Struthio camelus: one gene and its partners. The protein of the gene in region 3 purifies or fractionates together with the protein of the main gene of each other region. This does not show direct contact. Links are inferred from orthologs where the notes say so. Each region holds a gene or a part of one and is shown on either strand. Other genes may lie near its edges.

Region 1 (7,305 bases), on a different chromosome or scaffold from region 3:
GATGGGCTCTGCAGTGAGAGAGCAGGGGGTGAGGGGGAGGCAGAGCCCCCCCTTCAGGGGCGCAGCCACCCACCACCCTCCCCCCCCCCAAAAAAAACCCGTTCCTCTCTCGGGACTACAGCTCCCAGCAGGCTCTGCGCCGCGCCGCGGCGGCAGGGCATGCTGGGAGTCGTAGTTCCTCCGCACTCACCCGCGGACTGCCCCGCGGTCCTAGTGCTCGCTGGCTCCGCGTCGTCCTGTGGGGAGGGGCAAAAAAAGGGGTCACGGCGGGGTATTTACCGGGGGGGGGGGGGCGGGTAGCCAGGTTGGAGGGGGGGGACAAGGGGATCCGCACCAGCTGGGGACAATGGGATTAACTGGGAGAGAGAGAGAGAGAGGTGCCATCCCCCCCCCCCCCCCAAAATACCAGATGGGGGCAACAGGGAGCCCCCAGGAGAGGAGCAATACTCAGCGGGGGGGGGGGGGGGGGCAATGGGGCAGCGCAGGGATGGGGGGGCACCCCCAAAGCAGTATTTCGGCAAGGGGGGGCACTCACGCTGCCGGCGTCCTCGTCCCTCTTTGGCGCTGGCTTGTCCCCCTGCAGCGTGGCCTTTCTCCTGGGGGGGGGGGGGAGGTCAGCGCAGTGTCCCCCCCCCCAAACCTGCGTCACCGCCCCCCCCACAATGCGGCACCCCCTCACCGTCGGGCCAGCATGGCGCTCATCTCCTCCATGAGGCCCCCCCCGCCTCCCCCGCGGGTGCCATCGCCCTTGGGTGCTGCTGCCGCCACCGCCGGGCCGGGCGCCTCATCCTGCTGGGGGGAAACGGGGTGAGCGCGACCCCCCCCCCGGATTTGTTCCCCCTCCCGGGGCTGCAATCATCCCTGGGAATTGCCCCCAAAATGGGTATTACCCCCCTGCAGGGCTGCCCCTCCTCCCCCCCATAGGAACTGCCCCCAAACCAGGTATTACCCCCCAGGGGCTGCCCCCCCCATGGGAACTGTCCCCAAAACAGGTATTACCCTCCTGGGGCTGCCCCCCCCGTGGGAACTGCCCCCAAAATGGGTATTACCCCCCTGCAGGGCTGCCCCCCCCGTGGGAACTGCCCCCAAAATGGGTATTATCCCCCTGCAGGGCTGCCCCCCCCCATGGGAACTACCCCCAAAACAGGTATTACCCCCCAGGGGCTGCCCCCCCCCGTGGGAACTGCCCCCAAAACGGTATTACCCCCCACCGCAGAGCTCCCCCCCCATTTTGCCCCCCCAGGGGTAATTCCCCCCCCCCCCCCCGGTACCTTGCCGACTTTCCTGAGTTTGGCCCCCGCGATGGCGGCGGCGAAGCCGGAGCCCCCCCCGGACGCCCCCCCGGGGGCACCCGCGGGCCCGGGCAGGGGTGGTGCCGGCGGGACCCCGGCGGCAGCTGGGGGGGGTCCGGGAGGCGGGGGGGGCCCCGGGGGTCCCGGGGGTGGTGGGGGGCCGGGGGGCGGCGGAGGCCCCCCCGCAGGCAGGGCCGGGGCACCTGTGGGGGGAGAGTGGCTCATGGGGGGGCACCCACGCTGGCCCCCCTCTCCCCGTGGGGGGTTTTTTGGGTGGGGGGGTGGGCTCATGTCACCCCCCTCCCCGGCACCCACCTGCGCCGGCCACGCGCCGCTCCAGCTCCTCCGGCGCCGGCCTGCGGGGAGAGGGGTCAGCACCCGTGCCCCCCCCCGGGGTGCCCTGACCCCCAAGTCAGCACCCATGGATGTCCCTGGGGCACCCTGACTCCCAAGTCGGCACCCGCGGCCCCCCCAGGGCACCCTGACCCCCAACTCAGCACCCACAGACCCCCCTGGAGTACCCTGACCCCGAAGTCAGCACCCGCGCCCCCCCTGGGGTGCCCTGACCCCCAAGTCAGCACCCGTGGCCCCCCCGGGGATGCCCTGACCCCCAACTCAGCACCCACGGACCCCTCCGGGGGTGCCCTGACCCCCAACTCAGCACCTGTGGCCCCCCCCGGGGCACCCTGACCCCCAAGTCAGCACCCATGCACCCCCCTGGGGCACCCTGACCCCCAGGCCAGCACCTGTGGTCCCCCAGGGGCACCCTGACCCCCAACTCAGCACCCACAGATCCCCCCGGGGCACCCTGACCCCCAGGCCAGCACCCGCGCCCCTCCAGGGCATGTTGACCCCCAAGTCAGCACCCACAGACCCCCCCACAGCCACTGTGTCCCCCAAGTCAGCCCCCCCCACATGCAGGGGGTCTCGGGGGGGGGAATGAGCACCCCAGGGTGCCCTTGGGGGGCTCCTACCTCCGCTGCTGCTCCGGCTCCTCCAGCGACGGGCCGTTGGGGACGGGCCAGGGCTGAGCGGGGGCTGGCGGGGGGGGACGAGAGCTCAGAGCAGCACCCGGGGACGTCCCCAGGCTGGGGGGACGTCACAGTGGGCCACCCCCGGGTGTCACCTCATCCGTGCTCACCCACCTCCAGGGTGGCAGCGAGGAGCCTGGTGTCCTCGCACAACCCAAAGCTGAGACCCCCCCCACCCCCCAACCTGAGGGATGCCACCCCACGGTGTCACCTCCCTGGTGTCCCCACGTCCCCGCTCACCGGCCTCCAGCACCTCCAGGGCCTGGAGCATGGCGGTGGCGAAGAGGGTGGCGTCCTCGCGCGACCCGAAGCTCAGTCCCCAGCCCTGGGGGACGTCACCCCGTGCCACCACCTCCCTGGTGTCCCCACATCCCCGCTCACCGGCCTCCAGCACCTCCAGGGCCTGGAGCATGGCGGTGGCGAAGAGGGTGGCGTCCTCGCGCGACCCGAAGCTCAGTCCCCAGCCCTGGGGGACGTCACCCCGTGCCACCACCTCCCTGGTGTCCCCACGTCCCCGCTCACCGGCCTCCAGCACCTCCAGGGCCTGGAGCATGGCGGTGGCGAAGAGGGTGGCGTCCTCACGCGACCCGAAGCTCAGTCCCCAGCCCTGGGGGACGTCACCCCGTGCCACCACCTCCCTGGTGTCCCCACGTCCCCGCTCACCAGCCTCCAGCACCTCCAGGGCCTGGAGGGTGGCGTCCTCGCGCGACCCAAAGCTCAGTGCCCAACCCTGGGGGACGTCACCCCGTGCCACCACCTCCCTGGTGTCCCCACGTCCCCGCTCACCGGCCTCCAGCACCTCCAGGGCCTGGAGCATGGCGGTGGCGAAGAGGGTGGCGTCCTTGCGTGACCCGAAGCTCAGTGCCCAGCCCTGGGGGACGTCACCCCGTGCCACCACCTCCCTGGTGTCCCCACGTCCCCGCTCACCGGCCTCCAGCACCTCCAGGGCCTGGAGCATGGCGGTGGCGAAGAGGGTGGCGTCCTTGCGCGACCCGAAGCTCAGTCCCCAACCCTGGGGGACGTCACCCCGTGCCACCACCTCCCTGGTGTCCCCACGTCCCCGCTCACCGGCCTCCAGCACCTCCAGGGCCTGGAGCATGGCGGTGGCGAAGAGGGTGGCGTCCTCGCGCGACCCGAAGCTCAGTCCCCAGACCTGGCGGGCATCCCGCCACTGGTGGAAGCTCGGCGTCGCCTGGTTGTACTTGAGACCCTTGGCGATGGCGCAGTTGATGACCACCTTCGGGGGGGACACCGAGGTCACTCGATACCCAGGTCCCCCCCCCCCCAAGCTCTGACCCCCAAGCTGGGGACCCCACAGACAGTGTCCCCAGCCCCCCAGTCCCAACAGTCCTCCCAGTGTCCCCAAGCCCTAGGGGTGTCCAGAGCGTCCCCACCCTCTCAGTCCCAGCAGTGTCCCCGGTGTCCCCAGCCAACCCTGGCCCTGGTGTTCCCCCCAGTGTCCCCAGCCCTGGCAGTGTCCCTGGTGTCCCCACCCTCCCAGTCCCCGTGGTGTCCCCAGCCACCCCTTGCGGTCCCTCCAGTGTCCCCAGCCCCAGTGGTCCCCCCAGCATCCCCAGGCCCTGGGGGTGTCCCCAAACCCCCCGATGGTCCCTGTGGTGTCCCCAGCCCCAGCGGTCCCCCCGGTCCCCAGCCCCCTAGCAGTCCCCACCTCCCCAGCGGTCCCCATGGCATCCCCAGCCCCCCAGCGGTCCCCCCGGCAGTCCCCCCGCTCCCCAGCCCCCCGGCGGTCCCCCAGTGTCCCCAGCCTCCTAGCAGTCCCCCAGTGTTCCCAGCCCCCCCCCAGTGTCCCCAGCCCCCCAGCAGTCCCCCAGTGTTCCCAGCCCCCCTGGTGTCCCCAGGCCCCCGGCAGTCCCCCAGTGTTCCCAGCCCCCCCAGTGTCCCAGGGTTCCCAGCCCCCCCGATGTCCCCAGCCCCCCAACAGTCCCCCAGTGTTCCCAGCCCCCCTGGTGTCCCCAGGCCCCCGGCAGTCCCCCAGTGTTCCCAGCCCCCCCAGTGTCCCAGGGTTCCCAGCCCCCCACGATGTCCCCAGCCCCCAACAGTCCCCCAGTGTTCCCAGCCCCCCCGATGTCCCCAGCCCCCCAGCAGTCCCCCAGTGTTCCCAGCCCCCCCCGATGTTCCCAGCCCCCTAACAGTCCCCCAGGGTTCCCAGCCTCCCCGGTGTCCCCAGCCCCCCTGATGTCCCCAGCCCCCCGGCGGTCCCCCAGTGTCCCCAGCCCCCCCCGATGTCCCCAGCCCCCCAGCAGTCCCCCCAGTGTTCCCAGCCCCCTGGTGTCCCCAGGCCCCCGGCAGTCCCCCCAGTGTCCCCAGCCCCCCCCCGATGTCCCCAGCCCCCCGGCGGTCCCCCCGGCCCCCCCCCCCCGGCGGTGGCACCTGCTGGTCGGGCTGCAGCTTGCGGCCGACGACGCGGAAGGCGGGGGGGGCGCCGCCGGCGCTGCGGTACAGCTGCACCCGGCTGGGGGCCTGGGGGCCGCCGCCCGCCGCCACCCACTTCTTGTTGGCGTCGTCGTAGAGCATCACCGTGGCCCGGGCGCTGCACACCACCGTCTCGCTGCGGGCGGCCGCCGGCCTCAGCGCCCCGGCACCCGCCCGGGGGGCGCCGGGTGCTCCCCCAGGCCGGGCGGGGGGCACCCATGGGGCGTGGGGCACCCCTAAAGCTGGGCAGGGGGCACCCACGGGGCGTGGGGTGTCCCCAAGGCTGGGCAGGGGGCACCCACGGGGTGTGGGGCACCCCTAAAGCTGGGCAGGGGGCACCCACGGGGCATGGGGTGTCCCCAAGGCTGGGCAAGGGGCACCCATGGGGCGTGGGGCACCCCCCAGGCCAGGCAGAGGGCACCTATGGGGCGTGAGGCACCTCTAAAGCTGGGCAGGGGGCACCCAGGGGGCGTGGGGTGTCCCCAAGGCTGGGCAGGGGGCACCCACGGGGCGTGGGGCACCCCTAAAGCTGGGCAGGGGGCACCCAGGGGGCGTGGGGTGTCCCCAAGGCTGGGCAGGGGGCACCCACGGGGCGTGGGGCACCCCTAAAGCTGGGCAGGGGGCACCCACGGGGCGTGGGGTGTCCCCAAGGCTGGGCAAGGGGCACCCATGGGGCGTGGGGCACCCCCCAGGCCGGGCAGAGGGCACCCATGGGGCGTGAGGCACCTCTAAAGCTGGGCAGGGGGCACCCACGGGGCATGGGGCATCCTCAAGGCTGGGCAAGGGGCACCCATGGGGCATGGGGTGTCCCCAAGGCTGGGCAAGGGGCACCCATGGGGTGCGGGGTGTCCCCCAGGCCGGGCAGGGGACACCCACAGGGCACAGGGCATCCTCAAGGCTGGGCAAGGGGCACCCACGGGGTGTGGGGCACCCCTAAAGCTGGGCAGGGGGCACCCACGGGGCGTGGGGTGTCCCCAAGGCTGGGCAGGGGGCACCCACGGGGTGTGGGGCACCCCTAAAGCTGGGCAGGGGGCACCCACGGGGCATGGGGTGTCCCCAAGGCTGGGCAAGGGGGCACCCACAGGGCGTGGGGCACCCCCCAGGCCAGGCAGAGGGCACCTATGGGGCGTGAGGCACCTCTAAAGCTGGGCAGGGGGCACCCACGGGGCGTGGGGCATCCTCAAGGCTGGGCAAGGGGCACCCCCCAGGCCAGGCAGGGGGCACCCATGGGGTGCGGGGTGTCCCCCAGGATGGGCAGGGGGCACCCACGGGGCACGGGGCATCCTCAAGGCTGGGCAAGGGGCACCCATGGGGCATCCCCAAGGCTGGGCAAGGGGCACCGATGAGGTGTGGGGTGTCCCCCAGGCCGGGCAGGGGGCACCCATGGGGCACGGGGCATCCTCAAGGCTGGGCAAGGGGCACCCACGGGGTGTGGGGCACCCCTAAAGCTGGGCAGGGGGCACCCACGGGGCATGGGGTGTCCCCAAGGCTGGGTAGGGGGCACCCACGGGGGGCCGAGTGTCCCCCCAGGCTGGGCAGGGTGCACCCACAAGGCTGGGCAGGGGGCACCCACGGGGCATGGGGCACCCCCCAGGCCAGGCAGGGGGCACCCACGGGGTGTGGGGCACCCCTAAAGCTGGGCAGGGGGCACCCACGAGGCATGGGGTGTCCCCAGGGCCGGCCAAGGGGTACCCATGGGGTGTGGGGCATCCTCAAGGCCAGGCATGGGGCAACTAGTGGGTGTGGGGCACCCCCAGGGCTGGGCAGGGGGCACCTACAGGGTGTGGAGCACCCCTAAAGCTGGGCAAGGGGCACCCCCAAGGCCAGGCATGGGGCACCCCTGGGTGTGGAGCATCCCCGGGACACGGGGCGACCCCAAGGCTGGCCATGGGGCACCCCTGGGACATGGGGCAACCCCCAAGGCTGACCATTGGGCACCCCTGGGTGTGGGGCACCCCAAAGTAGGCCATGGGGCACCCCAGGGACATGAGGACCCCCAAGGCTGGCCATGGGGCACCCCTGGGTGTGGGGCACCCCCAAAGCAGGCCATGCAGCACCCCTGGGACATGGGGACCCCCAAGGCTGGCCATGGGGCACCCCTGGGTGTGGAGCACCCCTGGGACACGGGGCGACCCCAAGGCTGGCCATGGGGCACCCCTGGGTGTGGGGCACCCCTGGGACATGGGGCGACCCCAAGGCTGGCCATGGGGCACCCCTGGGTGCTTCCCCCCCCCGCCAGGACAGGCACCCAAACCACAAGCACCCCCCATACTCCCCCCCACCCCACCCCTCCCCACTCCTTCCCCTTATCAGCAGGGGACCCAGGCGTCCGGGCCCTGCCCCCTTCCCCCCCTCCCCCATTTCCTCCGGGTGCGGAGAGGGCCCAGGCGTCCGAGCTGTGCCCCTCCCCCTTCCCGAGGGCAGGAGCTGGGACATCCGGGTTGGCGCAGGATGGGGTGGGGGGGGGGAACAAGTCACCGAAGTCTGTGACACCCCAGGGTGGGGGGGCCGCCAGGACGCCTGGGCCCCCCCCTCAAGGCCCCAGCGGG
Region 2 (7,235 bases), on a different chromosome or scaffold from region 3:
GATGGGTGGGTTGGAACCCAGAGACCTTTTTGGCTTGTTTTCACTGTCTGTGGTTTATTTATATGGTCCCTTTTCCTGGAAGCTGCCACATTAACTTTTGCAGTGACTCCTCTGGCCTGAGTCTGGTTCAGATTCTGTCTTTGGCAACCTGCAAATCCCATGCAGTTCAGCTCACAGTCGATGCCCCTGAAGAGAGCAGACAGAGCTACTTCATTGCTAGCTCTTGGTCACAGACGTTCCCCTAGTCATTCCAGCACTAGCAGCGCTCTGAGGCTTTGTGTTGTGGGGTCTCTGACTTAAGAAATATCACAGAATAGATGGGATATGCTTTGGGGCTTAAGGGGACAGTGACACAGTATCAAGTCACCTTTTAAGGGCCTACAGAGAGTAACCACACTTGCCATGATTTGCTTCATGAGAGCATCACTGCTTACTTTCCCACCTGCTAGTAAAAACCTTAATGAATTCTGGGATTGGAGCACTGTGTCTGTTGCTGGCAGTGGACATTGCTCCTTTTCACTCCCTTCTGTTAAAACATGTTTCTGCTCTGGAAAAACAAGTCAGCAAATGGCCCTTTCAGAACTGTTCTCTGTAGGTACTGTGGTCAGAGTACTGTATTCAAGCTAAAAAAATAAATTAGTATTGTTCGTAGCTCTACTGAGCTAATGGGAGGAAATGTATCTCAGCAAGCACTAGATTTTACTCTTTCCTAACTGATATGTATAAAACAAAAGATAGAAAATTTGCTTAATCCCCACAAGTCCCAGTTCTACAAGGTTCCAGTTGTTTTGGCCTTCAGGACCTTCGATTACAGTGATGAGGGGAAATAAGAGAATTCCTAGGTTGACTCTCCCCCAGGGGAATCTTCAGTGCTGACAGTTAGGAACTGCTTTATTAATAGACTAAGCCCATTTGACCTAGAATAGGAGACTAATCGTGGAGCTGTAAGGGCCATTTTTAAATAGTTGCTTAGCAGATAGAATTGCACTTTAAGTTCTATTATTACTAGTAAATAGCTGTCCTTGCAGAGTCATTCTCCCATCAGCTCTAGGAACCTCAGATATTCTCTGGCCTCCAAGGCCTTTACCCTGTAGGGAATGAATAATCCCACCCTTGCAGTTACAGACACCTCGGCAGCATCTGGAGCTTGCATACTCCTGAGGACTGTGCCACTGTTTCATGTTCTCTTGGTGTCTCATATCTGGTCGGAGAACAAAGAGGTAGAGAAAATCTCTCTTGACTCCTCTTCGATAGTGCGATTTATATCATCTCGCCAAGTCATGTGAATACTCTTAGGGTAAGATAGGAAGTCTTATGCCATATATTGAGAAGCAGAACTTTCCGGTGAAGAATCTCTTGCAGCAAACTGTTAACCTCTCTATCTTCTGGGAAGAGGCCAAGTGCATTCCCACCCATGGCGTGAAAAGAGCAAAGCGTACAGTAGGGATATGGCATAGAATTGTGGGGAGGATGCATTTCAAGCGCAATACTTTTCCAGCTAGTTTAAAAAAATGAAAATCCATCCTATTCTGTTGTAACCTTGTTCAGATACTAACAGTCCTACTACCCTTGGAAAAACATGACAGTTGCCAGTGGGTTCGCAATGCTCTTTACACCAGAGGTGGCTCTGCAGCAAGAGGTTGCCGCTTTGACATGGCTAGGTGGCATGAAACTGTCCATAACTTGCACCATTGGGCTGACTGGTGTATATTCCTGTGGAAAATGAACTGGAGCTAAGGCTTAGAAATTTCCCTGTGTTAATGTGGGACTCTTCCCTACTCTCAGAGGGATTTTTTTATTAGATTTTTTTATTTAATTATTTATTTGATTGACTCCAGCCTGGGAAGCACTGTTTTTGTTGGGCAGGGGCACATTTGGATTGAGGCGTGGACTCAGTGGGGAACTGAGAAAGGAGTGCAGGTAACTGAGGTGGACCTTGCCTGTCTAGGCTGCCTGATGCAGGGACAACGTCGAAGGGCTCGAGCATAGGCAGAAGAACCAATACGAGAGGAAGCCAGGTGTGTAGGGCAGGGGCATGAGAGCTGGGTATAGGTGGATGGGGAAGAAGGTTCTGACTTCTAGGAGAGCAGGCTGTTTTTGTGTCTTCCCTCCTCCCCCCCAACAGCTATGTGAGTGTGCACCAAATTCCTGAGGCAGGACAGGGGTGAAGGGAGATACCACCCAGACCTGTCACTTGAGGTTCAGTCAGTCTGTAGAAATAATTGCTCTCCGAGTCACAAGTGCAGAATGGAAAGGAAAACCCAGTCAGTCTTTTCAACAATTAATGGTGCTTGTGATCTCCACCTTGATGTAATCTCTGCTGCTTCTTAGAAGGGACCCTGCACACTCCAGCCGAACACGATTCGTAACTGCTCTCTGCTTCCTTTCTGAAATAATTTAAGGTGAAAAGGAGCAAAGAAACATCCCACAGCCTCACGTCCGCAAGTGAGGTGGGCAGAAATCAGTTTCATTTTTCTAAAGTATGCAGACAGCCCCAGTGAGATGCTGCCTAGAGGGTAACGTCATGTTTCCCCATTCTGGGGAAGAGAAGGCCCTCACTGCGCTTAGGCTGTTAAGAATGTAGAAAGGCCACTGGAGGATGATCTCCTGAGCACTGATTTACTATGTAAAAAAAGCAAACCTCTCTCCTGTCTGTCCTGAGCTAACATCAGTGATTTCCCTGCGTTCCTGTGTAATGGTTTTAACGTTACTCACTGGAGACATTGGACTTTCTGGAGTTATTTAACCACTATGTTCAGTATTTTAGGGGTTGATATGATAATTTAATATAAATTTAGCTTTTCTTAACCACTCTGCCTGGCTTTTGGTTGTGAATGTGCATGGTTTTTGGACTCTCCTTTGAAAGAGGAGCTCCTGGACCTGTTTGTACAGAACCTCAACTTTCCTTCGTTTCAGAGGAGCAAGAAGGTAGGAATGGACTGGGGTTCTTCTGACGATCAGCTTGCTAACACACTGCTTCTGGTGCTAAGGCTTAGGATCAGAGGCCAAACATCTACACCCACTCCCATTTGCAAATGCCCATGTGCACGTACACTCTTCCCCTCACCCTTGCTTTTTTCTTTTTATTACCACTTTAACATGGCAACAGCAGAAGAGCGTGGCCATCATTTTTTGAAGAGGTTTAGGATCACACTGGTCTCAAGCAACATCTACTGTAGGGATCGTTGCTTGTTTTGTGCCTTTGACTAGTGGAAAAGATGGCTCTGAAGAACTGTTTTTCTATCCATAAGGGTTTTTGTTCAAGATTCTGCTGCTTTTTTTTTTCTTTTTGATGACGAGCAGGAGTTTAAGTGGTGCAAGGATGAAAAATGAACAAAATGGTCAGTAACAACTGACACTACAATACTGCTACTAATCTTACGGCCCATTGCATCCTGTTCTGATGACGAAGTACCAAAAAGTATTTTAAATACCTTAGCTTTGTTCCTGCCCATTCTTACGTTGAAGCACAGTTCGGAAATGATTTCACCAAGGCCAAGCAAGAATGTAATCAGCTTTTCTTGGCACCTCACTCCTCGTTCTAATCTAGGCCCTGTAAGCATGGTGCAATGGTAATATTCAGTGCACTCCCTTCTTACGGTTGGGTTGATGGTACCAGCCATTGCTTTCTCTTCTAATTGATTATTTACTTCAGCGTCCTTTCCCAAAGGATCTTTTTCTTAGCCAGCTTTACTGAAGAAAGAGAACAAAGCAGAAAAAAACTAGGCACTTGCACTTTTTATGTTAAGACGAGTTACTGCTTGTCACAGAACAGGCACAGGGAAGGATTTTGCCCTTCCAGTATAACAGGGCATTTCCAGAAGCCGCAGCTGCAGGCAGGAACAAGTTCCAGGTCCTCGCTCGTTTTCTGCCTTGCTCCCGCGCCGGGGAAAAGCCGGCGCTCCGCGCTGCCCGGCGCGGCCGCCTCTCTCGCCAACGGCACCGCCTGGCCGGGCGCGCCCCGCGGCGACCCCGTCTCGGCTGAGCCCGCCGCGACGCGACGCCTGGCCCCGTTACCAACCCTTCGTCCTCCCCGGCCGTTACCAGGTGCCCCCGCCCTCAGGGGCTTGGCGTCCCGGACTGCGCGGGGGGAGGCGACAGCCCCCGTGCGGGCCCGGGCCGCCGCCGCACCCCCGCCCCCCCCCACCGCGCGCGGAGCACGCGTTGCCACTGCCGGATTCAAACAGGCCAATAAAGCGCGCGGGTGAGGGCGCGGGCGGGGCCGGCGCCAGCCAATGGGCACTGAGGACACTGCGAGGTGCGGGCGGTGTTAGTGATTTCAAACCCCGCCGAGGAGCGGCCGGACGTTCGCCGCGCCCGACCCGCTGGGGCACAGGTGAGGCCCCTTCCCTCCTTCCCCACCTGCTGCGGTGGGTCCAGGACGCCTTCCGCAGCTCCCTGGGGCCGGGCGGCGTGGCTCCCCTTGCTCCGCCGGGCCTGAGCCGCCCCCGTGGGGATCGGCGCGGGGGCGGCGCCCGCGGGCGGCGCTGACATCCCTCCGCCGGAGCGGGCCGCGCTCGCGGGCATCGCCGGCTCCTCCTGCGGCGGCAGGCGGCCGTTGGCGGCGGGCGGGCGGGCGGCCGTTGGCGGCGCTAGGCCGCGGGCCTGTAGCAGGCCGCGCTGCGGAGGCTGAGGGGCGCCGCCCGCCTGGGCCGCGCGGGGAGTGGGGGTTGGGGCCTGCGGGGTGCTGCGGCCGGGGCCGCCCCCTCGGTGCTGCAGACGCTGTAGTGGCGAGCTGGGAGCGCCTGTGGGGCTGTCGGGACCCTTGGTCGGGAGGAGGCCGGCAACGCGGGCCCCAGGGAGCCGAGCTCGGCCCGTTCCTAGTGGGCGGCCGGGGAAATGCCGGCCTGGCTTGTGTTCCCTGAGCACGAGTGGCGCCTGGGGGCTGCTTGCGGGGTTGGTTTCCCCCCTGAAACGACCTAGGGGAAAATATTCCCTGTAGTGATTCCAGTCTTAAAAGAAGAGAGTGAACTCATCTGAATTTCTGTATCTCTGATGTTGGGTTCAGGTGTTTGTCTCGGATCTCCAGGGTCCCTCTTCAGAATGCGCTTCCTGTTGAATCTTCTGTAGTGAAGGATTTTTCTTTTCTCCTGTTTCATTTGATTCTGAGTCAGAGTCTTGTGATCCTTTTTAAGGCAGTAGCTTTCAGGCTGGTGTGCAGGGGATTCTCCTCCTGAATTTGGATCTCTGTCAGTTACATGCCCAAATGTTTTTGTTCAGGGTGTGTGTCAACTACTTAATTATATTGTGTTCTTCCCTTTTTTTACTGTTCTTATTTTGTACGTAGCATTGAATCCTCTCAGAACCTATAGCTTTGACTGAGGATGCCTGTATAGTTATCTTATGGCTTGCTCCACTAAATTGCAGTACTGTTAAAGTTGCCTTCTGCAGGTGAGAAAGGAATGAATAGTGGTCTGGATGTTAGCTTACTAGCTGTAGACTTTCTCTGTTTATTACTGGTGTGATGGAGAAAGTATTGCTACGGGCTTTCAACGAACATTTCTGTTGGATTGGAACTTACGATGCAATCTCAAATATTGAAATGTTATAGAAAAAGCTATTTATAGAAAGCTACTATTAAAACTTTGTGGTAGTGTCAAGGTAGAAAGATGAATGATTAGGTGCAAGTTGTTCTTATAGAATTGATTCTTTAATGTTCAATGTCAGATCAGTTGATGGTGCAAAAAATAAAATTTGGCTTAACTGCTTCTTGCCCCAGGCATGGTCTTTCTTTAAACCTTACTATTTTGGTGACTTCCCTTGCTTAAAACTTGCACCTTTGCCCCGCCCCTCAGGAGTTGCAATAGGATTAAAGCAACTTGTGGTAGAAGCATTTATGGAAGGTAATTCTCAAGAACATAAAGTTGGGAACATTACTAGAGGGCCTGCTGTGGAAAAACTACATGTTTATGCAATACCTGTGTGCAAATAGGTAAAACTTGGATTTTAGAATAATGAGAAATTGGAGTTAGTCAGATTGCTTTAAATCCTTCCTGTACTGATGCAAGACTTCTTATTTGCTCTTTTAAATTAAAAAAAAAAATCAGATGTATGGTAATGGCATGTTATTCCTTATTGTCATATGTGCATGGCTTGTATCTAATGGGACTTATTTCTATGCTGACTCTTGTTCTTTTGCTGATATGGGCCAGTTATGTAATCTGGGCCTGTGTTTCTAAAAGTCTGGTCTGTGCCACTGTTGAATTGATAGTCTCATATAGACATCTATTAGCATAGTAAGGTTTTGTTCCCATTAAATAGTAATCTGCTCAGAACATCTGACTTCCAATGTAATGTTAAGATTCTTTTTTTGCCTTGTGCATCGCTGTATATGCATGTGTACTGGATGATAAAATGACAGCTGAAATTCACTTGATATTGCATGTTGCAATTTTTTGCAGTCAATCCTTTTTTTCTCTTCTTACTATCCTGAATAGCTTAGCCTGTCATCTGCAAATCTCTGGTCACCCCCTTTTATAGAACACTTGTGAATGTCTTGAACATGCAATTAGAGAACTGGTCTGACTGTTTTGTGAGAGTACAGATAATTGTCTCCCAGTCATAAGTATCTAATTTGGAAGAGTTTGTTGTGTAGGATGTATGACCTGAAAGAGCCTTGAAAGATGTAAACACTTGCAAACTTTGCAATTTAGGCTTTCAGAATCATGGTCACGGAACATCTGGTCCCTGTCGTCCCCCCCCCCCCCCCCCCAAGTCTCTTCTCTGTTCTGTTGTTCCATGTAGATGCCTGTTTCTATTTTAAATTTGCTATATTTCTCTTCAAAATAGTTTACAAACAAATTAGAATTCATAAGCCATTTATATTGCATTTTTATCCCAGAGTAGGGTGGAATTAAGTTCACTTTCATCCTTAACAGAATGGCTGGTTTCAAGACAGCATAGTCTATGGTTATTATAGCTATCACTCTACTGTTGCTGCTACCCTGTTGTAGACTCTTCCGATGGCACATCTTATAGGACCTGTGTTTTAAAGTGTAACGTGGGAAGGTCTTGTATGCTTGTGTTTAAATTAAACATTGCCTTGTCCCAAACAATGCTGCTATGGCATCTTATTTAAAGAGCCTCTTGAACTGAGCAATTGCACATTGTTTGGAGTTGGGGTTGTCTCTATGACAGCTTCATTGCTGTGAAGTCAAGCAGAAGCTGGTGTGCGCGTTTCATGCCTCCCTGGGGTGGGAGTTGAGACAGCAGAAGAAGAACTTTGAAGATTATTC
Region 3 (7,405 bases):
TAAACAGATTTAAAATCAGTAGTAGCCTCACCAAGCATTGTGGGGTTTTTTCGAACAGAAAGACAAAAGGCAGAAAAACCCAGAGGATGGAAAGCATACAGCAAGAATTAGGCATAGCCACTGCCCACCAAGGATGATTCCTTGATGGGTGCATAGCTACCCGTCAAACCACCAGCAAAGCTGCTTCTTCCATAAGAATGAACCCATTGGAAAAACGCACACAAGGACCTATGAAAGATAATCAGGATTGTCAACTGGAGAAGATGCTGGCTTTCTGGAATAGATCACCATTCCAAAAGACCAAAAGCTTTCTTTGAAATAAAACACCTAACAATTAGTTTTTCCATCCTTCATCCAAGAGCAGTCAAGTAAATCATCTGAAGATGACAAAATCATTCAGAAAGGTAACAAGAACATTCACCCTGAAAGTTTTACATCGTGTTTTCAAATCTACTGTCCCCGTGTGTTTAAATTTGTGAATTTAAGTCTCTGCATACATTCTCCCACTCTTATATTAATCATTACACAGATATTTGCTTTACTATCCACTGAACTCAGCTGCTTTGTCTGCAAGACAGACAACAGTAGAGCAGAGTTTTACACTATCAGCAATGGAATACAAACAATAGCTAAAGAAGCAACAGCAAGAAGCAGGTTATGCCTGTATTTGTTATTTCTCTGAGTCATATTTGAGCCAAAGTTGCTTTAGAGCTAAAAAATTACATTAAGAATTTATAAAACTTTAAGCGCAATCAGCTTCACTGCTTCCCTTTATTCCTCCAAGCTGAAATTGAGACAACTGATCAACACCTGACTAAAGAAAAACTAGATGTTTACCGTAGCTAGTTAGTTTAAAAACAAAGCCTAAGATGAGATAAAATTGAGTACCTTCCAACACAAACTCAAATGAGCATCCCCTGCTCATGGGAGACTTTAGGTTTATTGCATTGAGCTCTTTATGCACCGTTGCTAGGCCAAATTAAATACCTAGTATACTGACATGATGCACATATACCACATTTACCCACAATCTTAGATATTAGAAGCAAACTCCATTTTCTGGGATTCAGCTGTTAAAATATGTAATTATTGACTTAAAATATGTGCAACTAGAAGTTGATCTAGATTTTATTATCACAGTCTCGCTGGCTAGTAGCTGTGGGAAATAAGGTAAAAGGGAAAGGAAGGCTTTAAACAAAACAAAACAAAGAAATCTTAGTTTTTTTAAAGTGATGAGTGTCCAATGCACACAAGCCCATGTTGTAAAAAAAAAAAAAAAAAAAACAGCAAGTTTTCCCACTATGGCCATTTAAAGATCCCCAAATGAAATCACTTCACATCTTAAAAGAACATCAGGGCACAATACCTAAAATACAGTTGGATCCTCAAAGGCCTAAAAAAGGCACTGAACATGCAGGGCAAAGAGATGGAATTTTTGTGCTTAATTATCTTCTGAGATCCTCTCGCAGTTGAGCTGCAGAGCACTGGCCAATAGAGTAATTTAAAAATCAGTAATGTGCATGCCTAGCATTTCAAGTCAAAAATGCACGCGTTATTACAATTTGTAAATACTTAAATGAATGGAGAAACGTGCCCTGAAACTTTCCAGGCAAACTGACAGAGCTGACGGCTGTACTTTCTAGTGCAAACCTATCACTCCAAAGTTAAGCAAACAGTCCGAAATGGCGAGGTGCACCTGACCGCAGAAGTCACCCGACTGAGAAGCGTCGCCCTCAGCAGACAGACAGCTTGAGGGAGGGGAAGGAGCCCCGCTGTTAGCTAGCGGCAAGCTCGGGTGGGCGGCCCCCTCCCCACCCCACCCTCCGTGGCGGGGGGGTGTCTCGGTAGCACCAAACACCGCCCCCGCCCGGCGCTGCCAGGACTATGGAGCTACCCCCAGCCCCATACAGCCCCCAAGCTTATGCGGATGCCCCCCGAGACTCCTCGTCAAGACCCTCCCTCAAGCTCGCGGAGGCGGCCCCCCCCTCCAGACCCATCCCCCCCGACCCCGCGGAGGCGGCGGCCCCCCCCCTCCCCTCACCCCCACGCCGCCCCCCCCGACCCCGCGGAGGCGGCGGCCCCCCCCTCCCCTCACCCCCACGCCGCCCCCCCCCGACCCCGCGGAGGCCCCCCCTCCCCTCAGCCCTACACCGCCCCCTCCCGACCCGCAGAGGCGGCGCCCCCCCCTCCCCTCACCCCTACGCCACCCCTCCCGACCCGCAGAGGCGGCGCCCCCCCCCTCCCCTCACCCCTACGCCACCCCTCCCGACCCCGCGGCGGCGGCCCCCCCTCCCCTCACCCCCACGCCGCCCCTCCCGACCCCGCGGAGGCGGCGGCCCCCCCTCCCCTCAGCCCTACACCGCCCCCTCCCGAAACGTAGAGGCGGCGCCCCCCCCTCCCCTCACCCCTACGCCACCCCTCCCGACCCCGCGGAGGCGGCGGCCCCCCCCTCCCCTCAGCCCTACGCCGCACCCTCCCGACCCCGCGGAGGCGGCGCCCCCCCCTCCCCTCACCCCTACGCCACCCCTCCCGACCCCGCGGAGGCGGCGGCCCCCCCCTCCCCTCAGTCCCACACCGCCCTCCCCGACCCCGCGGAGGCGGCGGCCCCCCCTCCCCTCAGCCTCACGCCACCCCCCCCCTCAGCCCCACTCTGCCCCCTCCCCGACCTCGCGGAGGCCCCCAACAAGACTCCCCTCCCCCACAGCCTCCCGAGGCTCAGGGAGGCGCCTCCGAGACGGCGGGAACCCCCGTAAACCTCCCGCTCCCAAATCAGCGGGGCGGCCCGCAGCTCCCCAAGCCCCCCTCGACCGCCAGGGTGCCCCAGCCCGCAGTACCTGCCGCCGTGCGCTCGGCCAAGGCGCTGCGCGGGCTCCAGGTCCCCACTACCGCAGCCACCGCCGGCCAGCACCGCCTCAGCTGCCGCCACAGGATTTCAAAATTCAACGGCCGCCCCAGCCCGCCAATGAGGAAGCGGCATTCGGAAAGGTTTCGCCAATCGGCAAAGAGCGCTGAAAGGAGGCGGGACCAGCCGCTATTCCCTCGCCAATGAGCCCCCGCGGAAGGGTGTTTTCGCGGAGGGTGATGGTACTGCGTGGGGCATGCCGGGAAATGTAGTTCGGGGGCGCCATCACGGCGGCCCGCCGGGGTGAATAACGGCCGAATTCCTTGTTACTGAACAGCTCGTTGCTATGCAGGAAAGAACTGCGTAAAGCGTTTGCGGTTTTACTGGTAGTCTAGATCAGACTGCTGAGAACTTATGTACGTAAAGCTTCTTTTTAGGACGGAGAGTTGCGTCTGTAAATCCCAAGGTAAGTAATCCAGTCCTAGGGGGGACATTTAGAAAACTAAACTGACAGGGCAGGAGGGATTTGGGCGCTGAAAGGAGCGAAGAAAGAAGGCCGGGGCGAAAAACGCTAAAGGCCCATATGGATTTTTATGCATCCCAGCGCACATCCTGGGCATAGGCCCAGCTGTGGCCCTGCTTCGTGCTGGGAGAAAGCCAGGTGGCACGCGCCCTGATTTCCACACAAAGGAAAACAGGGCAACAGCTCGGGAGGGGAACTCCAGCATCCCCCTCCCTAGATGCCTACTGTGAAGAAATCTGGGGTTTGAGGCTGTGGACCAGACTTTGTACACAGTGGTCAATCTAGGTAGAACTGGAGCGTCCCAAGACTCAGTCCTGCAGTGAGTTTGGCATCAAGAGGAGTCCTGCATAAACTATCGTTGATACCACGAGGACTCTGTAGGGAGAGTGAATCCTGCCTATAGAGATTAATGTGGATCAGGTTAGAAACTGGGAAACTTTTAGAAGATTAAGGTCCATGTTTAAATGGTGGTTCTTTCAGAGATCCATATCGATAAATCACATGAACTATGAACTTCCGCTGCCCTCAGCACTTTGGCACGGCTGTCCCATGTAGCTGTTAAGAGCATTTTGCCTGTTTTCCCCCTCCCAAGAGAAAACCATCTGTCTCCTGTAGCCCCAAATCTACCCACAGCATTGCCGTTTTTCTACATCATCTTGTGAATAAAACCACAGAAGGAAAATTTGCTGCCTCACAATGTTTTATTATGATTTTTATTATTAAATGTCACGATCCATTCCAAAAATTAACACACTCAACATCAATTAAATTAGAGTTGAGTCATTAGGCAGTAACAATGAAATGGTTGTTGAAACCAATAAAGCTGGTAACAACAAAGTGTTTTGTAGTGAAATGCAACACACGCGATCCAAGTTCAATTTTATTGACGCAACAATCACTAAACCACCATGAATTCTGATCTCCATCAACAACACCCTCTGCCAGCCTCAGATTTCACGCTGCAGAGGCGGCATTTCCTAAGTTTCCTGTGACTAGTAGATTATAACGTTGCATGATGTTTCCTCTGCTCTCCTTCCTCAATTACGCAGTTTCCTCTTTTCTCTAAAATAGAAAAATATTAAGTTCATGGTTATTTATTACAGTGTGGAGGAGCAGTTGGTTGTTGTTTTCCAAGCGAAACAGTGATGCTTGCAGTTAATAGTTATTATTTGTATCTCAGTGGTAACCAGAGACTGCGGTCTGGCCTCTCCCTCTCCTGTGTTTGGAAGCTCACAGACATATCTTAAAAAGTTCTCTAATCACTTTAAGACCTCTTAAGATCTTAAGGCTCCTCCCGATCCTCCTCTAAAGAAAATATTACATAAAATACTCCAAGAAACCCAAAGAGAGTTGGAGCCCAACAGCCACATGCCTACTTCAGATGGACGTTACCCAACACCACGGGGCTTTTTAAACCTTAGAACCGCAATGCGCTGCTTTTGCCCGGCGCACCCGGCCGCGCATCTCCCCGTCAGCCGAGCCCCTTGCGCGGCGGCGGCGGCGGCGCATGCGCGACGCGGCCCGTAACGGCCGCGGGCTGGGCGGGAACTACCGCTCCCAGGGAGCCGCGCGGCGACGCATGCGCGGCGCGGCCGGTAACGGCCGTTGGCGGGGCGGGGCTGGCTCCCCCCGGCCGAGCGGGAACTACCGCTCCCAGGGAGCCGCGCGGCGGCGGCGGCGGCGGGCCGAGCCGAGCCGAGCCGAGCCGAGCCGAGCCCGGCGGCGCAGCATGGAGAGCCCGGCCGTGACCTTCACGCTGGCCTACCTGGTGTTCGCCGTCTGCTTCGTCTTCCCGCCCGACGAGGTCCGCTCGGCGGGGCTGACGGTGCAGAGCCTGCTGGCCGCCTGGCTGGGCAGCGAGGACGCGGCCTTCGTGCAGTACCACCTGCGGCGCAGCACCGGCACGCTGCTGGCGCACTCCCTGCTGCCCCTCGGTGAGGCGGGGGGCGCGCCCGGCCCGGCCCGGCGGCAGCCTGCGGCGCGGCGTCGTGTCTCCCTGTCCCCCCCCCCCCACCCCGGGTAGATGTGGTGGTGTGCGTCGTATCAGAAATCTCGGGATTACGGTCTTTCGGTAGAGGAGCCCCACAGCCTCTTTGTAATACACACCTTTGGAACTAGCTGGCCGCGTTGGAGTACGTGTGCTCCCAAAGCGATAACTTTTTATTTAACCAGCTGGTTCAAGTCAGCTTCCTTTAGCGATACAGTTCTGGTAAAAATAAGTGACGTCCGACAGGTAAGAACTTGCACCAAATTGCTTAGGCCAAGAGGCTTAGAATTTGAGTTGCCATCCAAAAATAAAACGGATTTGGAGGTGACCTCACCCGTTAAGATTAACTACAAAATTGAGGGATACGCGTTTACGTGTGTACTTGTTTTCTGAAAGTAAATCTTTTTCCTTGCAGGCTATTACCTTGGAATGTGCTTTGCTGCACCGGAAAAACATCTTTATTTTTTTTACTTGGCTTCGAAAGGATGGAAAACCTTCTTCTTTTTTGCCGTTCTCCTCCCAGCAGTGACCAGCGCCCTGGCATATTACTGGTCACGGAAAGGTTGGAATAATCATCCGTTAGCTCGGACGCTTGCTGTTCATGCTCTCCCGCAGTCGGGCTGGAGGGCAGTAGCTTCTTCCATCAATATGGAATTCAGGAGAATTGACAAATTTGCTACTGGAGCCCCAGGAGCCCGGGTGATTGTTACAGACACATGGGTGATTAAAGTGACCACCTACTGTTTACATGTTGCCCAGCAGCAGGACATTCATTTAACGGTTACAGACTCCAGACAGCATGAACTCTCACCAGACTCAAATATGCCTGTGCAGTTCCTCACCATCCGTGTTGCCAGTATTAATCCCTACGTGAAGGCATTTGATATTCGGTAAAGCAGAACATGCTACACCGTTATGTTATATGTATGTCATTTAATGATGTTAATGGAGTGCTTCTTGGCAGATCTGAAGACTTCTAGGGTTTCATCCCTTTCTTTTTGCTCCATGCCCAGTGCTCAGAGGTTCTTTGTGCGCAGTTCTGTCACTTAGTGCAGTGAAGAAAGGCTGTTTAGCAAGATTCACAGACCTACAATATTGAATCCACAACGGTTAATCAGAGGGACGTCCCTGTTTAGTCCTTTCTTAGGAAGAGAATTTAGTAGAGGTAGGAGGAAGTAACTGCAAAAACTTGGGTGAAAGAGAACAGGAAAGAAATGGAGAATCTTTAGTCTTCCATGTTTTGGAGGAGGAGAAATAATGATTTCTGTAAAACTGACCATTGCTCAGTCATGACTTCTTTTTCCCTCCTCCTGCTCAAAACTCATAATTTAGTCTCTGCTTGAAAGAGTTCTCACTGACTTACTGCAAACCAATTGCTCTTACAGTGAAGCAAGGAAGTAATTTAGGTTCACTTCCGATTTGTGTATCCTAGTAGTTGTAAATCATGGAAAATGTGCTGTGAATTGTTAGTGCTTGTTTTCCAAGGGGCCATGCTGTTTGTTTGTTTTAGCAGTCTGTCTACCTTGACAAGAATACAAGTTCTGCAGAAACTTGCAACAAACACTCTTGATTAGATTGGTGCTAATGTCTTCATTGTTGCTGTATCAGTAAAGGGCGTACACAAAGACATGTTCGTTCTCCTGAAGCTATTAATTTGAAAAAGTATTTGAGCGTGTTTGCTGTAGAGTCGTATGTCATGCAGTAGGCTGTTGGTATTACTAAGATTTTAAGTTTTAAATAATAGACAAAATTTGACGCAGAATAGCAAATACAGTCAGGTCTGCTTTAAGCTCATAACAATTTGAGTCTCTCTATACCAACAGTAGTATCTGCTCAGCTTTTTCTGCACTTAAAAAAGAATGGTCACAATTTGAAGGAGATCAGTCTTACGCAGTTTTACAGGGTTTGAGGGAAAAGCAACAGTTCATGTAAGAAGTAACTTTTCTTAACAGATGACAGCAGCACGTATTTAGCAGTAATTACAAGTAAGCAGATTACCAAGCTTTTAGGTGAACGGGTCCTGGCAAGCATGAGGAAGCTGCTGAGATGACTG
Region 4 (6,916 bases), on a different chromosome or scaffold from region 3:
ACGGGCTAGACATTTAAACTGGGACGTCTAAGATTCACAGTTTTATCTGCAACCTACAATGCCTAATACATGCTATCCAAACATCATATAACATTCACTCAAATTCAAAACAGACCACTGAAAAAAGTTAATTGCTGTGGTCAATTTGTACTGCTGATGTTTGCGTGTTACTGAATTGTTGGTTATTTTATAATATTTCGATGCTCTTTACAATAGTATTTAGTTTTAGCTGACAAAAGGAAAACTAGTTAGCTGTTTGATAACTGACCAGCTAACCGTCCCAGACAAGGGGTGAGATCTTCGCAAGAGGTCATCGGAATTATTTCAGGCTGAGGATGGCTGAAGAATAGTCTCAAACGTGTGTGTTTCAAAGGACATCACAGAAACAGAAGGCTATTTTTTTCAGCTCATTTCAGAATGACTTACAGTATTTATTCCTTTTTTGTACTCAGAGCGCCAACTGTATACTTAACTAGAAAACAGTTTTAACACCACTTGCAAATAGACAAGCCATATATTAAACACTGGCAGATCATTTATTCTATCCACTTTCTCACTCCTTCCCCCAATCATGACTTGCCTCGACCAGCAAATACCCATTAAAAGACATTACTCAAGCACAATATACTGTGAAGAGACTGGTTTAAACATGTTTCAGATATACCAATCCTCGTCTAAACAAGTCCGAAGAGAGCGTGTTCAGTGAAAGCTTGCCCTCGCACTGAAGCTGGGCCAATTAAACAAAACTGAGTCAATTTAATAGCGCCTAGATAGGGAAAATACTGCTTAAGCCACATCATTTTCTTAACTTGTTTAGTTTAATTAGTACCATTTGCTGCTTTTTTCACAAGGCTTGGAAGCAGAGTTCTTGAAGTCAGATTTCCTTGAATTACCCAATGACCACTCAAAGCAACTACTCAACTTGACACTACATTTCCCTCTTAGCAGCTTGACATTCTGCACAAGCAGGCAGAAATTTCAGACACATTATAAGAGCATTTGCCTACATTTACTGAATGTTTAAAGTCATTATTCAAACATCTAAACAGGCAACCTAAGGGCAGGTCCAACCTAGACACTTTCCTGTTACACTGCTTAAGAGAAATACTTGCGCTCTGAGCTGGCAGAAGTCCTAACACATAAAAGTTACACTAGCAAAAGGACACTTTTGCTGGTATAACTTACTTCACTCAGCCTCAGTCACGCAATTAGGGTACTTTTTGCCAGAATAAAAGCCCAAATTATACAAGAAGAGTTTCTCAAAATATTTATACCAACTTGTGCTAAATTAATAGCATTCATTGTGTTAAAGATCATCAAAATAAAATTTTAAAAAAATCATTTAAAGAATTCATGAACTGTAAGCTTTTTAAGTCGAAACTTCTTACTCTCGCAGGGCATCTGACTTGTACATAGCAACATGAATAAGTGAAAATAAGTTGCCGTAATACAGAACAAAAGCTTAAAATAATACAGTACATAAATACCTACGGTCTAAGAAAAACAGAGAGAAACATTAGACTAAATTTTAAACAAAACAGCAGGGAGAAAATACCCATGCTTCCCACTGCAAAGTTACTGCTCGCATTTAAGGCGTGCACACGCACACAAACCCTTAAAAATACAGTTCAAAAATGTGATTAGAATTTTACTTGACTTTATGCAGAGTTCTAATGGCTTGACACTTTTTTGCAGCAAAAGAATTTGTTGATTTTCATCACACAAGTTTTACTGCGTTATACCCCGAAGGGCCTTACAACTTTTGATCAATAATCCTTAACACAAAGACGACTCAAATCCAACCGCAAGTAAGACGGTACCTCTGAGAGGAAGGACGGTAACTCACTTTCCCCTCCTAACTAAAGGACAGGCCTACGGAGCATAACGTTCCCCCCGCCCCCAAATATATCAGCATTTAGGCTATCAAGCCACGTCTCTTACGAAGTCTTGCACCAATCCAGAAAAAAAGATTATGGAAACAAAACAGGCACTAAAAAGAAATTGGGGGGGGGGGGGCGAGCCACGGGCGCAGAAAATTATCTACAAATGAATGAGACCGCATCAAGCTCCAGTCTCTCGTTCAAACGAGGGCAGAAACCTACGTGTGCCTTCCCCCAGACCCCTCAAAAGGGGATGAGTAACGTCCACCTCAGTGTTTACATCTGAAAACCTCCAAACGCGACACTTTCACGGCTGCCGAAAGGGGGATTCCTCCCTCCGCCCCCCCCCTCCCCGCGCTCGACTTCTATTTATTGATTACACAGGGAAAAGCCCAGCTGCTGCTGCAATGCAACACCCGCCGGTTAAGAGGGGAAAGGAAAAAAAAAAAAAAGGAGAGAGAGAAAGAACGAAAGAAAGAAAGAAAGAAAGAAAGAGAGAGAGAGCAGCCAGGCGCTTCCCCCTCGCGCCGTGGCGGGGCACACCTCCGACGTGCTCCCAGCCGCAGCAGGGGTGACCACAGGGGACGCGCCGGGAGCACCGCGCCGGCCCCCCCGCCGCAGGGCCCCGCTCCCCCCCCCCTTCCTCGGCCATCAACTTCGCCGCCGCCGCCGCGGGGGACGGGGACGGCCGGGCCGCCCCTCCCCCACCCGCCGCTAACAATGGGCCCCTCCCCCACCGCGGGGCTCCCCCTCAGCTCAGCCCCTTCCGCGAGCCGAACCCCCCCCCCAACTCCCGGGGACCGTTAGGGGCGGGGGGGGGGATGGAGACGTTAACCGCCCCCCCCCTTCGCCTTTCCCCGGGGCCGGCCCCTCACCTCATGGTGCTGCCCGGGGTCGGGGAGCCGCTCCCGCTTCCTCGCTCGCTCGCTCGGCCGCCCGCTCCGCTCCCCTCCGCCGCTTTCCGCCTCGCAGCGGCCGGCGCGTCAACGGACACCGAGACCCTCGGCCGCCAGCGCCTCCCTGCCCGTCTCCTCGCTCCCTCCGCCGCCGGGCCGGGCCAGACCACCGCGGGGAGCCGGGGGGGGGCGGCGGCGAGGGGAGGGGAGGGGAAGGCAGAGGTGGGGGAGAAGGGGCGGGGAAGAGCGAACCAACGCGCGGGAATGGGCGGGGGGGGGGGAAGGAGAGACAGAGAATGGGCAGGACCGGGGATAGCGCGAGGCAGGCTCGAGACACCGGCCGGGCGGGGGGGCGCCGCGGCGCGGCGCGCGAGGGCGGGGGGTGGGGGAGAGGAGGAGGAGCGGGCCGCGGAGGCCACGCCCCCCGCCGCACCGCCTCCCCTGCGGAGGCCGCGCCGGGGAAGGGGCTCGGCGGTGCCCCCGCCTTCCCCCCCCCACCGGGGCGCGGCCGGGCCTGGTTTCCGTGCCCAGGAGCCCCGACGCCGTGGCCCTTCCGCCCGGCCGGCCGGCGTCAGGCGCGGGTGCGAGGGGGAAGGCGAGGCGGGACGCTGTGCTCGTCGCCGGGGCCGGGGCCGGCCGGTCGCAGGCCTCGCTGCCGCCGGGCCGCCTCCGGGCTCGCGAAGGGAGAGCGGCGGGGGCGGCAGGCCTGCGCCTCCCTCCCGGTGCGGTTCCCGGGGAGCAGGCGGGTGCAGGCTGCGAGGCAGGGTTACGGGCAGCCGGCGGGGGCTGCTCGGGCTTGCTGAGGGCAAGCTCAGCCTCGGCATTAAATGACTGGTTTGCTCATCCCTGCGGTGCCAGGAGCGAAATCTGAAGTGTTTTCCCAAGGTGCAGACTCGCTCGCACTGATTTTGAACGCTTCTGCCACCAGACCGTGTCCTTTCCCCGCAACGTTTCTCTCCCTGCTTTCTGGATCGCGTTCTTACTTTGCAAGTAATCAACACATGAGCAAAGTGCTAGAATTGGATTCTTCATTTCTAGGAAAATACATAATCAATGCAGCCCACTAAATGAACTCTACAGGTAAATTACTCGCTGGTGCTGCAGTTCTTCCAATTGCCTTTCTGTGCTCTTGGAAGCACGAGGCCTAGATGTGTTTTTAGAAATACGGGAATGTTATTTCAGCCTCATGCACGTTTGCTGTTACATCTTTCACTAACCCCACGTCCGTACTAAATACAGATTTATGTTTTGCTTTTAGTACTCCCAGTGGGTGAAACACATGTTATACATAACTTTAACCCAGTTCATGTTCAGCTAATTTCTGCCAAACACTGAATACCCCCATTCTCTTTGGTCTCCAGTTAATGGAAAGGATGAGCAAGTATCTCTGCAGTCTTCACTGACATGATGGTATCTCAGTCCTTTTACATCTCTGCTTTAATTTTTCCTTTTAAATTATCATTTTTTCTAGATTTTAGATATTAATAATATATAGGTTTTTATAAATAAATGTATATATACCTCCTTTATAAGTTTCTAGATTTTATATGCAAAAATTGAATAGGATTTTAGAGATAAATATGTACGTACCTTCTTCATAAAGTTCTGATCTAGGTTTCACAACCTCAGTTATTTACTCTGAATCTCGTTTATTCAACGCTGCATACAACCTCTTCTTTGAACAGCCTGGTATCTGAGACAGGGTCAACCACTGTCAACTAACGGTTTCAGTAAGACAGTGAAAGACGAGCTAGTCAATAAAAAATGTCCAGTTGTTGAAAATACTAATTCAAAAAAGAGGATAGGCTCTGAAACACAAGCCAACGAATACCAATTTAGTGAGAAAATTAACATGTTTTTACTGGCATAGAGATGATGTAAATGAAAATGTTGCTATAGGGGTGAATCACAAAATGCAGATGAATAATTAGAAGAGCAGCATCTTAACAGGTAAGTGGGTACCTTTGACAGCAACGTCAATGCAGTCTGAAATAGGAGACTTCATCTAATAAATATGCTTATCTTAAATGCTTCTACTGAATGCTCAGGACTCTAATGACTGACAATGGACTTCAGGTCTTAAAGAATCACAAATTTTGTAAGTTAGAGCTTACTATCACCAGAATATCCTCCAAATAAAAGGTTTGAAAGGGAAGTCATTCAGACTGTGAAAAATATCTTGAAGGCAGCCAAATATAAACATTAAGATCTGTATCTAACTGGACTTGCTCTCATCAGTAGAAGGAATGGCACAGAGAGTCAGCTGAACAAGGATTCTGTTCTAAGACCCCAGCTATTCTGTACTAGCCAAAAATCAGGATGCTAATGTGACTGTTCTGATAAGACCGTTCCGTCCTGTCAGTCAAGCCTAAAAGAAGTTTGACTGTAACAAGTATGTAAAACCCACTGAAAGTATGCCTGGGCAACAAGTCTGCCTGAGAAGGAATGAAAATAGCCGGAAGCTGTTACTCCTGCAAAAAACTATTATCATTACTTGTGTTATATTAGTTGATATTCTTAGCCAAATCAGGCATGGTCATAGCTTGATTTCTCAAGACATACTGTGGGGTACAAGAGAATCTGTAAAAATGCCAGAAGAATCATTTTGCATGCTGGCATCACAGATGTCACCAAGTGCAAAGTCATTCTGGACACTAGCTTAGTCAAAAATACCATTGAATTAATCTATAACAAAATATTAAATCTGCAATAACTCGTATTAGCATTACATGAGAAGGCGAGGAGCCAAAATGATATAGGGCAGAAATCAATTATAAACGTTAAGTGTGTCTTTCTTTCCCCCAGGTCAATTTAGCACTGTTATTGTCAAGGAATTAAAGTAGTCTCGCAGCAGAAGTTTGTACCATGTACATACTTACGATACTGAATTATACATTGAGAAATCTGTAATCTCCTGTAACTGGCCTGCATTTTCTCAAGCTGTAATCGTTAGATGTGTCCGAATCACTCTGTGCAATTCTCCCGTTACCTTTCTAGCTGATGGGATCCTCGAGTGGCATAGCATTGGTGATACTGCCCTTCATATCACCTCCCACCTCTCTCCTTTCTTGCAATGACAAACAGAATGTGGCAGAAAGGCTTCGTAGCTGATGGTGTCTCACTAATAACCTGGGGCCACCGACAGCTTACGATGCAGAGCCGTCTAAAGGCTCTTGTAATTGGTGTCAAAGAACAGTATTAGTGTCCTCCTTGCTCAGGATCCAAGCAGCTCAGAATACCCCAAAGTGACTTCCCATCCCTCTCTCTTGCCTTTTGTGCCGCTCAGCTGCAACTGAGGGTTGGAGCTCAGATGTTTCCAAAGGCTAAGCTAATTCAGGTTGAGTGGTATGGTGTGCCTCCTCTCCAAATAACCTGACTAGTGAAGGCTCTTTAAATACTAGAGAAATGGCTCACCCAGGCATAAAACAGAAGAAAATGTGTTTCTGGTTAGTATCAGCCAGATGCAAGAGGCTTGGCACTCTGTTCCTGAGCAAACCCAGCTGAGTCCATCTCATATCATCAGCATGGATCACCCTTAAGAGCGGGGCATGAGCAGGATGCATGACTAATATTCTGGAGACACTGAGGGAATCCAAAAGCTTCAAAAGGCAGCCTAATCCATCCTCTCTCAGTGAGGTTTCCCCATTTTCTCTGAAACAATCTTCCATTTGCAGTCGTCAGTTTTTTTGGAGAGTCTGTTTGTATTTAAGATGGAAAAGTAGCTGAGATCTTCACACGTCTTACTATAATCAGTGTCCCCGGACAGCAGCAGTTATACCACATCACTTTTTCCTTCTTTAATGCTCTGTAAATAGCATAATGCAGGAAACACAGTCAGAGAGGTTTCTGGAGTGGGGAGAAGTGGGTTTTTTGGTGGTGTTTTTTTTTTTTTGAAGGTTATTACTTTTACTTAATGTGTCTAGAGTTTGGTTTTTGAATAAGTAGAAAGATTTTTTTTTTCACTTGTTTGGGTTCTTTTCTGTAGAATGGTAACATAGAAAGAAAACACAATTTAAAATATAATAGAGTGAGAGAATTGCAACAAAAAGCAGTTTCAGTGAGAAAGCTGATGCTTTCTTTCTGTTGATAGTGAAGGGCTTTCCAAAAATAAAGGGCAGGCTGAAAAGAAATGGCTGTCAG

What was found.
Region 1: the proteins of TACC3 (region 3) and vasodilator-stimulated phosphoprotein-like purify together in Homo sapiens (co-immunoprecipitation; 3 studies listed by BioGRID and IntAct, with this or other methods). This does not show direct contact. The link is inferred for Struthio camelus from reciprocal best matches to the Homo sapiens genes TACC3 and VASP.
Region 2: the proteins of TACC3 (region 3) and CKAP5 purify together in Homo sapiens (co-immunoprecipitation; 5 studies listed by BioGRID and IntAct, with this or other methods). This does not show direct contact. The link is inferred for Struthio camelus from reciprocal best matches to the Homo sapiens genes TACC3 and CKAP5.
Region 4: the proteins of TACC3 (region 3) and ENAH purify together in Homo sapiens (co-immunoprecipitation; 3 studies listed by BioGRID and IntAct, with this or other methods). This does not show direct contact. The link is inferred for Struthio camelus from reciprocal best matches to the Homo sapiens genes TACC3 and ENAH.

Annotation. Positions count from the first base shown.
Region 1 is NC_090957.1:1,487,188-1,494,492, reverse strand, and holds the start of vasodilator-stimulated phosphoprotein-like, read right to left. Parts: upstream 2,987-7,305; 5' UTR 2,931-2,986; coding exon of another isoform or gene 2,902-2,930; 5' UTR 2,877-2,901; coding exon 2,564-2,876; intron 2,331-2,563; coding exon 2,267-2,330; intron 1,649-2,266; coding exon 1,608-1,648; intron 1,496-1,607; coding exon 1,272-1,495; intron 793-1,271; coding exon 680-792; intron 597-679; coding exon 536-596; intron 237-535; coding exon 191-236; intron 9-190; coding exon 1-8. Other genes in the region: homer protein homolog 3-like, read right to left, coding at 2,902-2,930, 2,987-3,560, 4,715-4,892. UniProt on the Homo sapiens protein: Ena/VASP proteins are actin-associated proteins involved in a range of processes dependent on cytoskeleton remodeling and cell polarity such as axon guidance, lamellipodial and filopodial dynamics, platelet activation and cell migration.
Region 2 is NC_090946.1:39,656,973-39,664,207, forward strand, and holds the start of CKAP5 (cytoskeleton-associated protein 5), read left to right. Parts: upstream 1-4,221; 5' UTR 4,222-4,336; intron 4,337-7,235. UniProt on the Homo sapiens protein: Binds to the plus end of microtubules and regulates microtubule dynamics and microtubule organization. Acts as a processive microtubule polymerase. Promotes cytoplasmic microtubule nucleation and elongation. Plays a major role in organizing spindle poles.
Region 3 is NC_090945.1:78,788,212-78,795,616, forward strand, and holds the start of TACC3 (transforming acidic coiled-coil-containing protein 3), read right to left. Parts: upstream 3,008-7,405; 5' UTR 2,835-3,007; intron 1-2,834. Other genes in the region: TMEM129 (E3 ubiquitin-protein ligase TM129), read left to right, coding at 5,095-5,299, 5,768-6,242. UniProt on the Homo sapiens protein: Plays a role in the microtubule-dependent coupling of the nucleus and the centrosome. Involved in the processes that regulate centrosome-mediated interkinetic nuclear migration (INM) of neural progenitors.
Region 4 is NC_090944.1:125,990,695-125,997,610, reverse strand, and holds the start of ENAH (protein enabled homolog), read right to left. Parts: upstream 3,016-6,916; 5' UTR 2,761-3,015; coding exon 2,756-2,760; intron 1-2,755. UniProt on the Homo sapiens protein: Ena/VASP proteins are actin-associated proteins involved in a range of processes dependent on cytoskeleton remodeling and cell polarity such as axon guidance and lamellipodial and filopodial dynamics in migrating cells.